3 linked regions of the Macaca fascicularis genome follow. Each later gene encodes a partner of the first gene's protein in a complex. Links are inferred from orthologs where the notes say so. Each region holds a gene or a part of one and is shown in the gene's direction. Other genes may lie near its edges.

Region 1 (3,577 bases):
GGCCTTTGGCATGGACCCTGCCCGGCCTGACCAAGCCAGTACTGTGGCTGTCAAGATGCTCAAAGGTGAGTGTGACCCAGCGTGGTGGCTCACACCTGTAATGCCAGCACTTTGGGAGACCGAGGTGGGAGGATCACTTGAATCCAGGAGTTCGAGGCCAACCTGGGCAACATGGCGAGACTTCATCTCTACAAAAAAAAATAAGAAAATTAGTTGGGTGTGGTGGTGTGTGCCTTTAGTCCCAGTTACTAGGAAGGCTGAGGCAGGAGGATCCCTTGAACCCAGGAGTTGGAGGTTGCAGTGAGCCATGATCACACCACTGTATTCCAACTTGGGCAACAGAGTGAAACCCTATCTGAAAAAAAAAAAAGAAATAAAAGTAAAAGGTGAATGTGGCAGCCTGGAGGAGGTGCTATGGCTTTGGGACTAATAGAAGGGGATCACAGTGCTACCGGGTGAGCCCTGGAGCTGGGAGAGGCTGTGGGATCCCACCTTTAAACCTGCAGTTCAGCTCTGCTCCTGACCCTGGCAAGTGACTTCTGAGCCTCAGTTTTCCCTCGTGTCATATGGGGTAAATAACAGTCCCTACTCCCAGCCCAGGGACTGTGGAAAGTGCCTGGCTCATATTCAGCCCTCAACAAATCGTCACCATTGGGGTGACGATGATGAGAAGGATTTGGTGTGACAGGCTTGATATCCTCTGTCAGCGTCAGTCTGTGTCAGCCTTGACTTCACCTCTTCTCAGCCTCACAGGCCCTCCCCCGCCTTCCCTGTGGTTCCCCCCAGACACACCCTCAGCCTCCCTGGGACCCTCCCTAGGTCCATCCCGCGTCCACTGCTCTAGAAGGACAGCCCTTCTGCTTGCACCCAGTCCCAGCCCCGAGGGTGCTCTTGCCAGGCACTCCCGTACCCCGCCCATCAGGTCCTCTCGTTGCAGTTCCCCAGCGCCCCCTGCAAGAATGGCCTCAACTGCTCTTCTGCTCCTCCCCTCCTCTCTACACAGCTGGGGCCACCTGGTGCTCCCTGGGAGGCAGGGATTGAGAAATGTGCATTGTGACATTGCCGTGTGTGGGTGGGGAGTGTTACATCACTGGCCCAGGGCCACAGGTCAGCCCCAGGGGCCCAGCCAGAGAAGCCAGAGCAGCCTTCTTCCCAAGCTCCCTGGCTGCGCCCTGCCTGCAGCCGGCTCCCTGAATTCCCAGGCCAGTTGGACGCCAGGCCCTGGTCAAACAGACCCCAGGGTGCCAGCCTGCTTTCCGCTCCCAGAAGCTCTGACCCCATGTAGGGACTACCGCTAACCCCTCCAGAGGCAGCTTCCTTCCTGCTCCGAGCTCTTCCCCTCTCTCCTGTTTCCTGGACCTGCCCACTGGAAGGCCTGCCTCTCAGATCCTTGATATAGTTGCATCCTTGCAACTGCTGTGACAGGTAGGGTGTGACCCACTGCTCTGTTTCCCACAAGACGACCCTGAGGTTCAGAGACACTAGGAGACTTTTTCAAGGCCACACAGACTAGCAAGGATTCAGCCCTAGACCTACGTAGCCCTGGTCCAGTGCTCCTCGCCCTGCCCCTGCCTCTGCCTCGCCCTGCCCCTGCCTCTGCCTCGCCCTGCCCCTGCCTCTGCCTGTTCCCTCATGTAGTTGGAGAGCAGCCTCTTCACCCCATCTGCTGCCCTTACAGACAACGCCTCTGACAAGGACCTGGCTGACCTGGTCTCGGAGATGGAGGTGATGAAGCTGATTGGCCGACACAAGAACATCATCAACCTGCTGGGTGTCTGCACCCAGGAAGGTGGGGCCAAGGCGGGGCCGGCTGCATGGGCCGTTAGGGTACAGAGCCAAAGCTGTGGCAGTCTCTCCAAGCTCCCTCCACTCCCTCTGTAGGGCCCCTGTATGTAATCGTGGAGTGCGCTGCCAAGGGAAACCTTCGGGAGTTCCTGCGGGCCCGGCGCCCCCCGGGCCCTGACCTCAGCCCGGACGGTCCTCAGAGCAGTGAGGGGCCACTCTCCTTCCCAGTCCTGGTCTCCTGCGCCTACCAGGTGGCCCGAGGCATGCAGTATCTGGAGTCCCGGAAGGTACAGGCGGTAGGGCTCTGGGCCCCTCTCGATCTCTCCAGCTCCACTCTCTCAGGCCTGTGGCATTAAATGTCCCCAACTTCTTCCTTTCTGCTCTTTTTCATGACCCCACCTCAGTGTCCCCAGGCATTCATGCTTTCCTGCCTTCCCCACTTGTTCCTCACACTTCCCTAGAAGGGAGAGGGGAGAGGGGAGAGGGGAGAGGGGACACAGGAGAGGGCGTTCCCCATTTCTAAACCTTGACCACCTCCTCTGTAAAGTGGGTGGAGGGCCCCTGCCCCTGAGCCTGCTGGGGGGTGGTGTGTGCTCAGCTCAAGGTCAGGTGTCCTGATGCACCCAAGCCCCCACTCCCTGCAGTGTATCCACCGGGACCTGGCTGCCCGCAATGTGCTGGTGACGGAGGACAATGTGATGAAGATAGCTGACTTTGGGCTGGCCCGTGGCATCCACCACATTGACTACTATAAGAAAACCAGCAACGTGAGGGAGACGGGGCAGAACTGGATGGGAGTGGAGGGGGGCTGGGCCTGGGGTGGCAGGCATGGGAACTCGTGGGACTCTGCACTGAGGCCCTCCCTCCCCTCCAGGGCCGCCTGCCTGTCAAGTGGATGGCGCCCGAGGCCTTGTTTGACCGAGTGTACACACACCAGAGTGACGTGTGAGTCCTGCCAGCGGTCACTGTCCTACCCCACAAAAAGGGCAAGGCACTGCCCAAAGTCACATGGCCCCAGGAGGCCTGCGCTCCAGGGCTCCTTCAGATTTGTTCTGGGATCCGAGTGGGACCACACTCCAGGAGGAGCCCACTCCCCACCAGCTGGGGTGGGTCATGCCTGTGGGGTCCCCCGTCCTAGCCCTGGTCTTAGGGAGGGCGCTGGGCCACACTGAGCCCTGGCCCTGCCTCCAGGTGGTCTTTTGGGGTCCTGCTGTGGGAGATCTTCACCCTCGGGGGCTCCCCGTATCCTGGCATCCCGGTGGAGGAGCTGTTCTCACTGCTGCGGGAGGGACATCGGATGGACCGACCCCCACACTGCCCCCCAGAGCTGTGAGGCCTCATCCTGCCCTCGACCCCCACTTTCCAGTCCTCCTCCTCTGCCCTGACCTTGGCCTCAGGGTTTGTGCCGGCCAGAAGGACAACACTAACAACAACTCCTCCTCCTCCTCTTCCTCCTCCTCCTCTCCTCTTCCTCCTCCTCCTCTCCTCTTCCTCCTCCTCCTCTCCTCTTCCTCCTCCTCCTCCTCCTCTCCTCTTCCTCCTCCTCCTCCTCTCCTCTTCCTCCTCCTCTCCTCCTCCTCTCCTCCTCCTCCTCCTCTCCTCTTCCTCCTCCTCCTCCTCCTCTCCTCCTCCTCCTCCTCCTCCTCTCCTCTTCCTCCTCCTCCTCTCCTCTTCCTCCTCCTCCTCCTCTCCTCTTCCTCCTCCTCCTCTCCTCTTCCTCCTCCTCCTCTCCTCTTCCTCCTCCTCTCCTCTTCCTCCTCCTCCTCTCCTCTTCCTCCTCCTCCTCTCCTCT
Region 2 (4,146 bases), on another chromosome or scaffold:
ATGTAAAGTATTAAAATCTTGATAATGCATGGTGTGCCCCTCTCACAGAGTGGCAGTGAGGTTCAAATGAGCTAATAGATGTGAAAATGCTTTGTAAACTATAAAAAAAAAACTGCACAAATGTAGGGTAACAGATGCCATTTCTTTCTGTCTATACCTGTATGCTTGCACTCATTTTGTATTACGGTTACTTATTTTTATCTGCCTCCTGCATTAGATTTGAGCTCCTCGAGATAGGAATCACATCTTGCTGTCTCCTATATCAACTTGTACGTGATGTCTAGCTTGATGCCTGTACATGGCATGTACTCAGTACATGGGAAATTGGAAGAGGAGCAATCTCCTTGGGTATTTTTTCGGGTGTATGTTGCAGTAGCTTGCTCCCCTTTAGACTGTGCGTGCCAGGACTATTCCCCCCAACATGAGGTGTAGCTTCCCAGAGGGCGCACTGTGAACAGCATCTGCAGGCAGGCATCCAGCACCAAGCTGAGCACTCATGTACAGACACTAAATGTGGGGACACCCTGTCCTGAGGCTCGGATTCCCGGTGCTCAGCCAGCAGCCTTTCCAATCCCCATGAGGTCTCTGAACGGGTCTCCTTACTCCTGGAGAGACTATTCATTTAGTTGTCCTCGATAGTCCAAACTAGGGAAACTGAGAAATTGAAACTTGGCATGTTCAGCGAAGTCCAAACTAAGGACGCTGAGAAATCGAACCTTGGCATGTTCAGTGAGCTCAAGACCTTGCTTCTTTTTCTTCCATTTCAAAATCTTCCCAAAATGGCAACTTTGGTTTTTGTGCCCCTGCTCCCAGCTCCCATCTTTCACGAATTGGGGGTTCTCAGAGGATGCCATCTGCCTGACGGTGTCATGTATCTCTATATCCTACAAGCTAGCCACCGAATCCTGCTCATAGATTAAGCACTGATACATACTTGCTGATTGGAATTTAAAGAAAACCAAAATAAGTAAACTCGACGGGAGATTAATTGCCTGGGAGTCGGTTGACTGCTTGACTGAAGCTGGATTTTTTTTGGGAACCGCTGGCTGCCTTCGCATTTCCTGATGGACGTGGGACAGGTCAACAGACAGCCCAGAGCGGCAGATAACTTTTGCCCACGCGTCATTCATTTTTTTGGAGCGTTGGCTTGAAATTGAGGGGGGTGTGTGTGTCTGGAACCGACGTGCCTTCCGTGCGCCTCCGGGGTCTCTGCACTCTCTTTCAATGGGCTGATTACAACACAGAGGATGTGGACAGCGGAGTTTTTCCTGTTTGATGTCACACTGCTACCCTTTAAAAGTCTGATGGCAAAAAGGAGGGAATTCAGTCTAGGATCCTCACACCAGCTACTTGCAAGGGAGAAGGAAAAGGCCAGTGAGGCCTGGGCCAGGAGAGTCCCGACAGGAGTGTCAGGTTTCAATCTCAGCACCAGCCACTCAGAGCAGGGCGTGATGTTGGGGGCCCGCCTCAGGCTCTGGGTCTGTGCCTTGTGCAGCGTCTGCAGCATGAGCGTCATCAGAGCCTATCCCAATGCCTCCCCATTGCTCGGCTCCAGCTGGGGTGGCCTGATCCACCTGTACACAGCCACAGCCAGGAACAGCTACCACCTGCAGATCCACAAGAATGGCCACGTGGATGGCGCACCACATCAGACCATCTACAGTGAGTAGGACTTCAAGCTGGGAAGAAGGGGTGCGCCCCTGTTGTCCATCTACAGGGGGCTTGGGGAGGTTGGGGACTAGACTGGAGGGCTAATCCAACCCTCCAAGCTTTCTGCCCAGGAACCACTTATTGTCTGTGTGTGTGTGTGTGTGTGTGTGTGTGTGTGTGTGTATTTAAATCTTAGGGGAAGATTCTGTCACTCTCCTAATTAGTATTTGCTGGTTTTTCTAACATGCATACTTTTTGTTTAAACTAAAACCCTTCCCACAGTAGGAGCCATATTCCCTTTGCCCCATCAAAAGATTCAGAAAATATACTGAAAAAAAGCAAGGAGTCTAAGAGAAAAAGAAGCCAGGCAGATCAACAGACACTAAGTTTCAGCTCCTGGACTTCAGGCTGGGTTAACTAGGCAGGTTGGAAAGAAGATTCCCAGGTCATACCCAGATTGTAATAGATAAATCTGGGGGCTCTTTCCAATTCTGGCCTTATAAAAATTCTTGGAAAAATGTATTAAACACAGACCGTCCAGGAATGTTGTCTTGGTGAGAATGGCCAAGTATACAACCCATCCACCCATTCATTTGTCCATGCATCCATCCATCCAACCTTTAAACTTTAACAGGTTTAAAGGCTGTTTCAGATACTCAGGTACCCCGGTACCCAGTACGCATTGGTGATTCTTCTCCGTGGAACTGAAAGGTGTCCAGTCAGTAGCAAGTCAAGCTAGTTAGAAACTTATTGGCAATGTGAGACAACTGGAATGTTTTTAAAGATCAGGTTTGTGGAGAATTGGATCACAATCCACAATAATCAATCCATTAGCAACGATTCAAATGAGGGCCACTTTGTGCGCACCTATATAAGGGGTAATGTGGTGGGAGCAGGGATATTGAAAAAGACTGGATCTTCTATTTTAAGAAAACATGTGAATACCTCTGAGAATATATAAAAATGCAAAGTGATCCAATATAGCTCAAATTAAGGGAAAGAAAAATTAGTTAGACAATCTCTAACTAAAGAAAACATAGGAATTATGATTTGCCTTTTATTGTTGTAATAAGTTAATTATTTTTGCTGTGACCTTGCTGTGTGTGAGGCATTTATTCTTCTAGGAACCAAAGGTCCTTAAACCTGGTTGCAAGATATATAACATGCAAAATTAAGTTGCAAGATATATGACATGCGAAATTGACAGTTTAAACCTCCTCAAGTGCTAGATGCATATTGATAGGAGATAAAAGGAGAGAGAAAAGTTCTCTCCAAATACCAAACAGGTTCCAGAACTCTAGAGGATATACTAAGACTCAGGAGTCAACATCTTGGAAACCAAGTGTGAGTCTCGTGGCAAAAATTTCAATTAAATCTGGATATACTTGATGAACCCCAAGTGTTGTTCATTTTATTCAATGGATATTTAACAGGATCTACAATGTGCCTGGCATTCTATCAAGCTCTGTGACTGAAAAGTAAGACACAACCCCTCAAGGACCTTGTGGTCTGTCGTCCTGCCTTGTCAGCCAGCTCACTACCAGACTTTAGGAAATGCGACTTTGCGCCTCTCATGGAGCGGCCACTCTTACTCTGATTCAAGACTCTATGTGATTTAAAATGCAGAATAGTAGATGATGGTAAATTGTTTTGATTCTCTTAGATGGAAAGGGCGGCATCCAACTAGAGAATGTTTACACAACTTGTCTCGAATCCTGGAATCCCATTGCTGAAAGGAACTCCTTAAAGACGTTTCCTCCTGAACAAGAATTAGGGTAGAACGGAACAGGCTGGCTACGGTGGGGAGTGAGTGTGAAGAGTCGACCTCCTGGGCTGGCATTCTGAACTGTAGACCTTTTCCTTGAAAACCCACCTCGTATCAGGCCCCAAGGGATCATTGAGTGCTAGCTGAATTAAAAGGATTGAGAGGCAGCAAAACAAATGGAACTGACTTCAGATCTTTAAAAACAGAAATACGGTTTTGTTTTCTTAGACACAGGCACTAGCTAAACATTGCATCTTTAAAGAGTTAAACACGAATATGGGGAGGGGAACTTAGGGTCAGGGGAGTGGGAGAGAGATCTGCCTTTCCTAGTCTATGTAGATAACTTTTTGTACTGTTCAATCAGTTGTCACGTGTATTATGGGGGGGAAAAAGTGCAGGAAAAAAATTACACAATACAATTAAAAGTTACCCAAAAGAGGCCAGGTGTGGTGGCTCATGCATATAATCCCAGCACCTTGGGAGGCCAAGGCAAGAGAATCACTTGAAGTCAGGGGTTAAAGACCAGCCTGGCCAACATGGGGAAACCCTGTCTCTACTAAAAATACAAAAATTAGCTGGGCGTGGTGGTGCGTGCCTGTAATCCCAGCTACTTGGGAGGCTGAGGCAGGAGAATTGCTTGAACCCAGGAGGCGGAGGTTGCAGTGAGCTGAGATCACACCACTGTGCTCCAGCCTGGGCGACAGAGCGAGACTCCGTCTCAAAAAAAAAAA
Region 3 (3,577 bases), on another chromosome or scaffold:
AATACATTTAGTGAAATGAAACATAGCAGATATGTTCACCACGAAACTAAAAAGAAAAGTTAGCCATAAACTATCTTATTCCATTGAAATGTTAGGCTGAACCCCTAAGAATGTTGATGAGGCCATTCTTGGGTGCCTGTACTGAATTGAACCAAGAGAGGAATATTTAGGATATGTTGAAGAGGCTATTTGGCTCAATGAACAAAGGAGTTTCTGCAGGCCCAGGGAGTGGAATGAAAATTGGCATGATCATTCTGGAGAATATATGGAGTCAAACAGAGAATGAGAATGGAGTTTTCAAAGAGGATATGTTAGGGGAATAAAGGCTGATAAACAACACTTGTCTTTGTAGGAAAATAGGGAGAGTAAATCAAGGAATTCAAAGGGAAAGAGAAACTCACTTCAAGTAGGGGAGAAAAAACTCCTATAATTTTCACTCTTCTTTGTAGATAAAAAGGAAACAAATGAAAATAAGATATTAGAAGTCAGTAAGAATTTATGGGAGTATAAAGTTGGTTTTATGGATGCAAAGCCCTTTTCATTGCTGTACGAAACTCCTGGCTGCATGCAAACAATGGACATCTGATCTCCTTGCAGCTGTATTTTGCTGTTTTTTGCTCTTGGCTTGTACCTTGCACCCTGGGTCTGTGGGAAACCAGAACTGTCCCAGAGTTCTGGAGGGTAGGCCAAGGTTAGATACTGGAGTGGGTTCTTTAATTTATTGTACTGATTCTTCTTAGGGAAGAATGAAGATTGCTTGTTAGAATTTTAGCTATGAGAGATGACTCTGAAACAGTAAATTAACTCCAATGACCTGAGTCATTTTGAAAACTCCCAGTTTCAGGATAAAAAATATAATCCTATTTAGAAATTCCTGGTGTGATCACAGATGTAGCATTGGTTCTTTTCACAAAACCCGTAAATTAAAAAGTACATAATCCAAAGTCAATTAAATAGTAAGATATTATAACAAATTCTTTTATTTCATTAGCTTTTCAAAATGTGGATAACACACACTCAACCCAAGGAATTTACATTTTTCCACTGACTGCTAAAAATCAATGGAAATAACTCTAGTCCTGGTAGCACCTCACTGTGGGGTGACCTACCTTTGAAATAATTTATTGGTTCCAGCTGATTTTTACATTGTTAGTCATTAAGTTAGGCTTGATGAGAAACATATAATTTGAGTTGGGGATTCAAGTATTATATTGCATTTCTCTTCACAACTAGAGATAAATTCGTCATGGTTTTTCTTTTCATAGGCTCATGCCAAAGTCTGGCATCTCTACAATACTTCTTTCCGTCCCACTCAGGGAGGCCAGGTGTCCATCGCCCTAAGCTCTCACTGGATCAATCCTCGAAGAATGACCGACCATAGCATCAAAGAATGTCAAAAATCTCTGGACTTTGTACTAGGCTGGTTTGCCAAACCCATATTTATTGATGGTGACTATCCCGAGAGCATGAAGAATAACCTTTCGTCTCTTCTGCCTGATTTTACTGAATCTGAGAAAAAGTTCATCAAAGGAACTGCTGACTTTTTTGCTCTTTCCTTTGGTCCAACCTTGAGTTTTCAACTTTTGGACCCTCACATGAAATTCCGCCAATTAGAATCTCCCAGCCTGAGACAACTGCTTTCCTGGATTGACCTTGAATATAACCATCCTCAAATATTTATTGTGGAAAATGGCTGGTTTGTCTCAGGGACCACTAAGAGAGATGATGCCAAATATATGTATTACCTCAAAAAGTTCATCATGGAAACCTTAAAAGGTATGATTTTGGGTAAAGTTCTCATTTCCTGCCAAAGTCTTCTAGAAAAAAATCTCCAAGATTATCTAACATGAACTATGTGAATTTATATTTTTAAATCCTAATGGAGACATTCAATTTGGCAATAGTAGGAATGCATTCGTGTAACACCTTTCTCATTTGGGGTCTTGAGGAACTTGAAGTAATTTTTAAAAACCCATTTGTAAATGAGAAACTGGGTTATAATATTTGTAATTACTTAACTTTCAGAGTTACTAATCTAGATTTTTAGATTAAATTGAACATAAATCCCAGGATATCTAGCTCTCTGCACATGTTTTTCAGTTCTTGTTATTTTGGTTGAGTAAAACACTTTAAAGGAAAAGGAATGTCCATGTTTCCTAGAGAAAACAGTATAAATAGATCATGCTTTTAAAGCCTTCATTTATTTATTTATTGCATCAGACACAATGCTGGGTGTCTAGGATGGAAAGTGGTACAAGACATCTTTCCAGCCCTGTAGAACATCTATTATAAATAAGGAATTATTCTGTCGAGGTGCTCAGAAATCCAAAAAAACATATTGATAGGCCTATTTTGAGGGCATTTATTTGTAGAGTTATATAGGTTTGATTAGAGTCTTTTGTGAAGAAGAGAAATCATTGGCTTACCAAACAAGAAGCATTACACTTTATTTAAGTAGGAGAACGCTCAGATGCTCTTGAATCATGATGCAAGTGCCCAGCGAAGGGTCGTGTTGCTCTTGTCCCCTCTTCCCTTTGCAGCCATCAAGCTGGATGGGGTAGATGTCATCGGGTACACCGCGTGGTCCCTCATGGACGGTTTCGAGTGGCACAGAGGTTACAGCATCAGGCGTGGACTCTTCTATGTCGACTTTCTAAGCCAGGAAAAGACGTTGTTGCCAAAGTCTTCAGCCTTGTTCTACCAAAAGCTGATAGAGAAAAATGGCTTCCCTCCTTTACCTGAAAATCAGCCCCTAGAAGGGACATTTCCCTGTGACTTTGCTTGGGGAATTGTTGACAACTACATTCAAGTAAGTCAGCTGGCAAAACCTATCAGCAGTCTCACCAAGCCCTATCACTAGTAAGTAGTGCTTCCTTCCTAGGCTGATTGTCACGGCACATTGTCCGTTCTTAGAGCCAAAACCAATTCCTTATGAGCACACTAAGGATACAGTTTGGAATGTTGCACCCTGCTCTCCAGAAATCTTCCTATCTTCATCTTGTTTAAGTTAGATGCAAAGAGAAATAAATTTAAAACATATCAATATTTAAGATCCGATTAAGACAGTGAAAAGATAAAACACTCTCTTTTCACATTGTGGTTTTTGATCCTTTTTAAGGCAGTTGAGTTTTTTCACGAACAGGATCTAACACAAAACTCCAAAGCCTCCGAGTTTCAGTGGTGGGGCTGAGACAGAGGCAGGAACATGAGGCGGACTCCTCCAGAGGCACAACTGTGGGCTCCACAAATGTGCAGAGATACCCTAAGAAAGTAAACCCTAGATCCAGTGATTCACTGGTCAGAATGTCTTTTTTAGCAATAGTCTTTGAAATGATATGAAATTTCTTCAAAATGATCAACCAATATTTATTGAGCATCTTCTCAGTAGTAAGCCCTTAACATTCTTTTAAATTTCCCAAATTTTGAAGGGACTTGTTTTCCAGCATTTGATTGGATACTCTAGTAAGCACTTATTGGATGTCTAGTGTCTCCAAAGCCTTGTGTTAGTTGCTCGGGTCGCTTGGTTAAGCGGAATGCAGGTAGAGGGTACACTGAGATGCGTAAGGGCAACCTTTGC

The links.
Region 2: the proteins of FGFR4 (region 1) and FGF23 are in contact, whole or in part, in a cryo-EM structure (PDB 7YSW), measured with the Homo sapiens proteins. The link is inferred for Macaca fascicularis from reciprocal best matches to the Homo sapiens genes FGFR4 and FGF23. Residues at the interface, in NP_001341913.1 of Homo sapiens: Glu156, Lys157, Lys158, Leu159, His160, Ala161, Val162, Pro163, Asn166, Asp240, Leu242, Glu243, Arg244, Ser245, Pro246, Lys272, Val273, Tyr274, Ser275, Asp276, Ala277, Gln278, Pro279, His280, Ala308, Asp309, Ile310, Ser312, Gly336, Asn337; in NP_065689.1 of Homo sapiens: Leu32, Gly33, Ser35, Trp36, Gly37, Tyr43, Ala45, Thr46, Ala47, Arg48, Asn49, Ser50, Ile75, Arg76, Ser77, Glu78, Asp79, Ala80, Gly81, Val83, Val84, Tyr93, His117, Gln118, Thr119, Asn122, Gly123, Tyr124, Asp125, Leu158.
Region 3: the proteins of FGFR4 (region 1) and KL are in contact, whole or in part, in a cryo-EM structure (PDB 7YSW), measured with the Homo sapiens proteins. The link is inferred for Macaca fascicularis from reciprocal best matches to the Homo sapiens genes FGFR4 and KL. Residues at the interface, in NP_001341913.1 of Homo sapiens: Asp266, Gln282, Leu284, His286, Ile287, Ile289, Gly295, Ala296, Asp297, Gly298, Phe299, Pro300, Tyr301, Val302, Gln303, Val304, Leu305, Lys306, Asn311, Ser312, Glu314, Leu318, Tyr319, Leu320, Arg321, Asn322, Asp327, Thr332, Leu334, Leu341; in NP_004786.2 of Homo sapiens: Ser539, Gln540, Phe541, Thr542, Asp543, Asn545, Val546, Tyr547, Leu548, Trp549, Asp550, Val551, His553, Ser554, Lys555, Arg556, Leu557, Ile558, Val563, Thr565, Arg568, Tyr571, Val573, Ala576, Gln579, Pro580, Glu625, Arg628.

Annotation. Positions count from the first base shown.
Region 1 is NC_088380.1:184,015,180-184,018,756, forward strand, and holds part of FGFR4 (fibroblast growth factor receptor 4), read left to right. Parts: coding exon 1-65; intron 66-1,678; coding exon 1,679-1,789; intron 1,790-1,881; coding exon 1,882-2,072; intron 2,073-2,413; exon of another isoform or gene 2,414-2,429; coding exon 2,430-2,552; intron 2,553-2,659; coding exon 2,660-2,730; intron 2,731-2,976; coding exon 2,977-3,114; intron 3,115-3,577. UniProt on the Homo sapiens protein: Tyrosine-protein kinase that acts as a cell-surface receptor for fibroblast growth factors and plays a role in the regulation of cell proliferation, differentiation and migration, and in regulation of lipid metabolism, bile acid biosynthesis, glucose uptake, vitamin D metabolism and phosphate homeostasis.
Region 2 is NC_088385.1:5,238,081-5,242,226, reverse strand, and holds the start of FGF23 (fibroblast growth factor 23), read left to right. Parts: upstream 1-1,325; 5' UTR 1,326-1,451; coding exon 1,452-1,662; intron 1,663-4,146. UniProt on the Homo sapiens protein: Regulator of phosphate homeostasis. Inhibits renal tubular phosphate transport by reducing SLC34A1 levels. Up-regulates EGR1 expression in the presence of KL. Acts directly on the parathyroid to decrease PTH secretion. Regulator of vitamin-D metabolism.
Region 3 is NC_088391.1:12,764,112-12,767,688, forward strand, and holds part of KL (klotho), read left to right. Parts: intron 1-1,265; coding exon 1,266-1,776; intron 1,777-2,540; coding exon 2,541-2,809; exon of another isoform or gene 2,810-2,859; intron 2,860-3,577. UniProt on the Homo sapiens protein: May have weak glycosidase activity towards glucuronylated steroids. However, it lacks essential active site Glu residues at positions 239 and 872, suggesting it may be inactive as a glycosidase in vivo.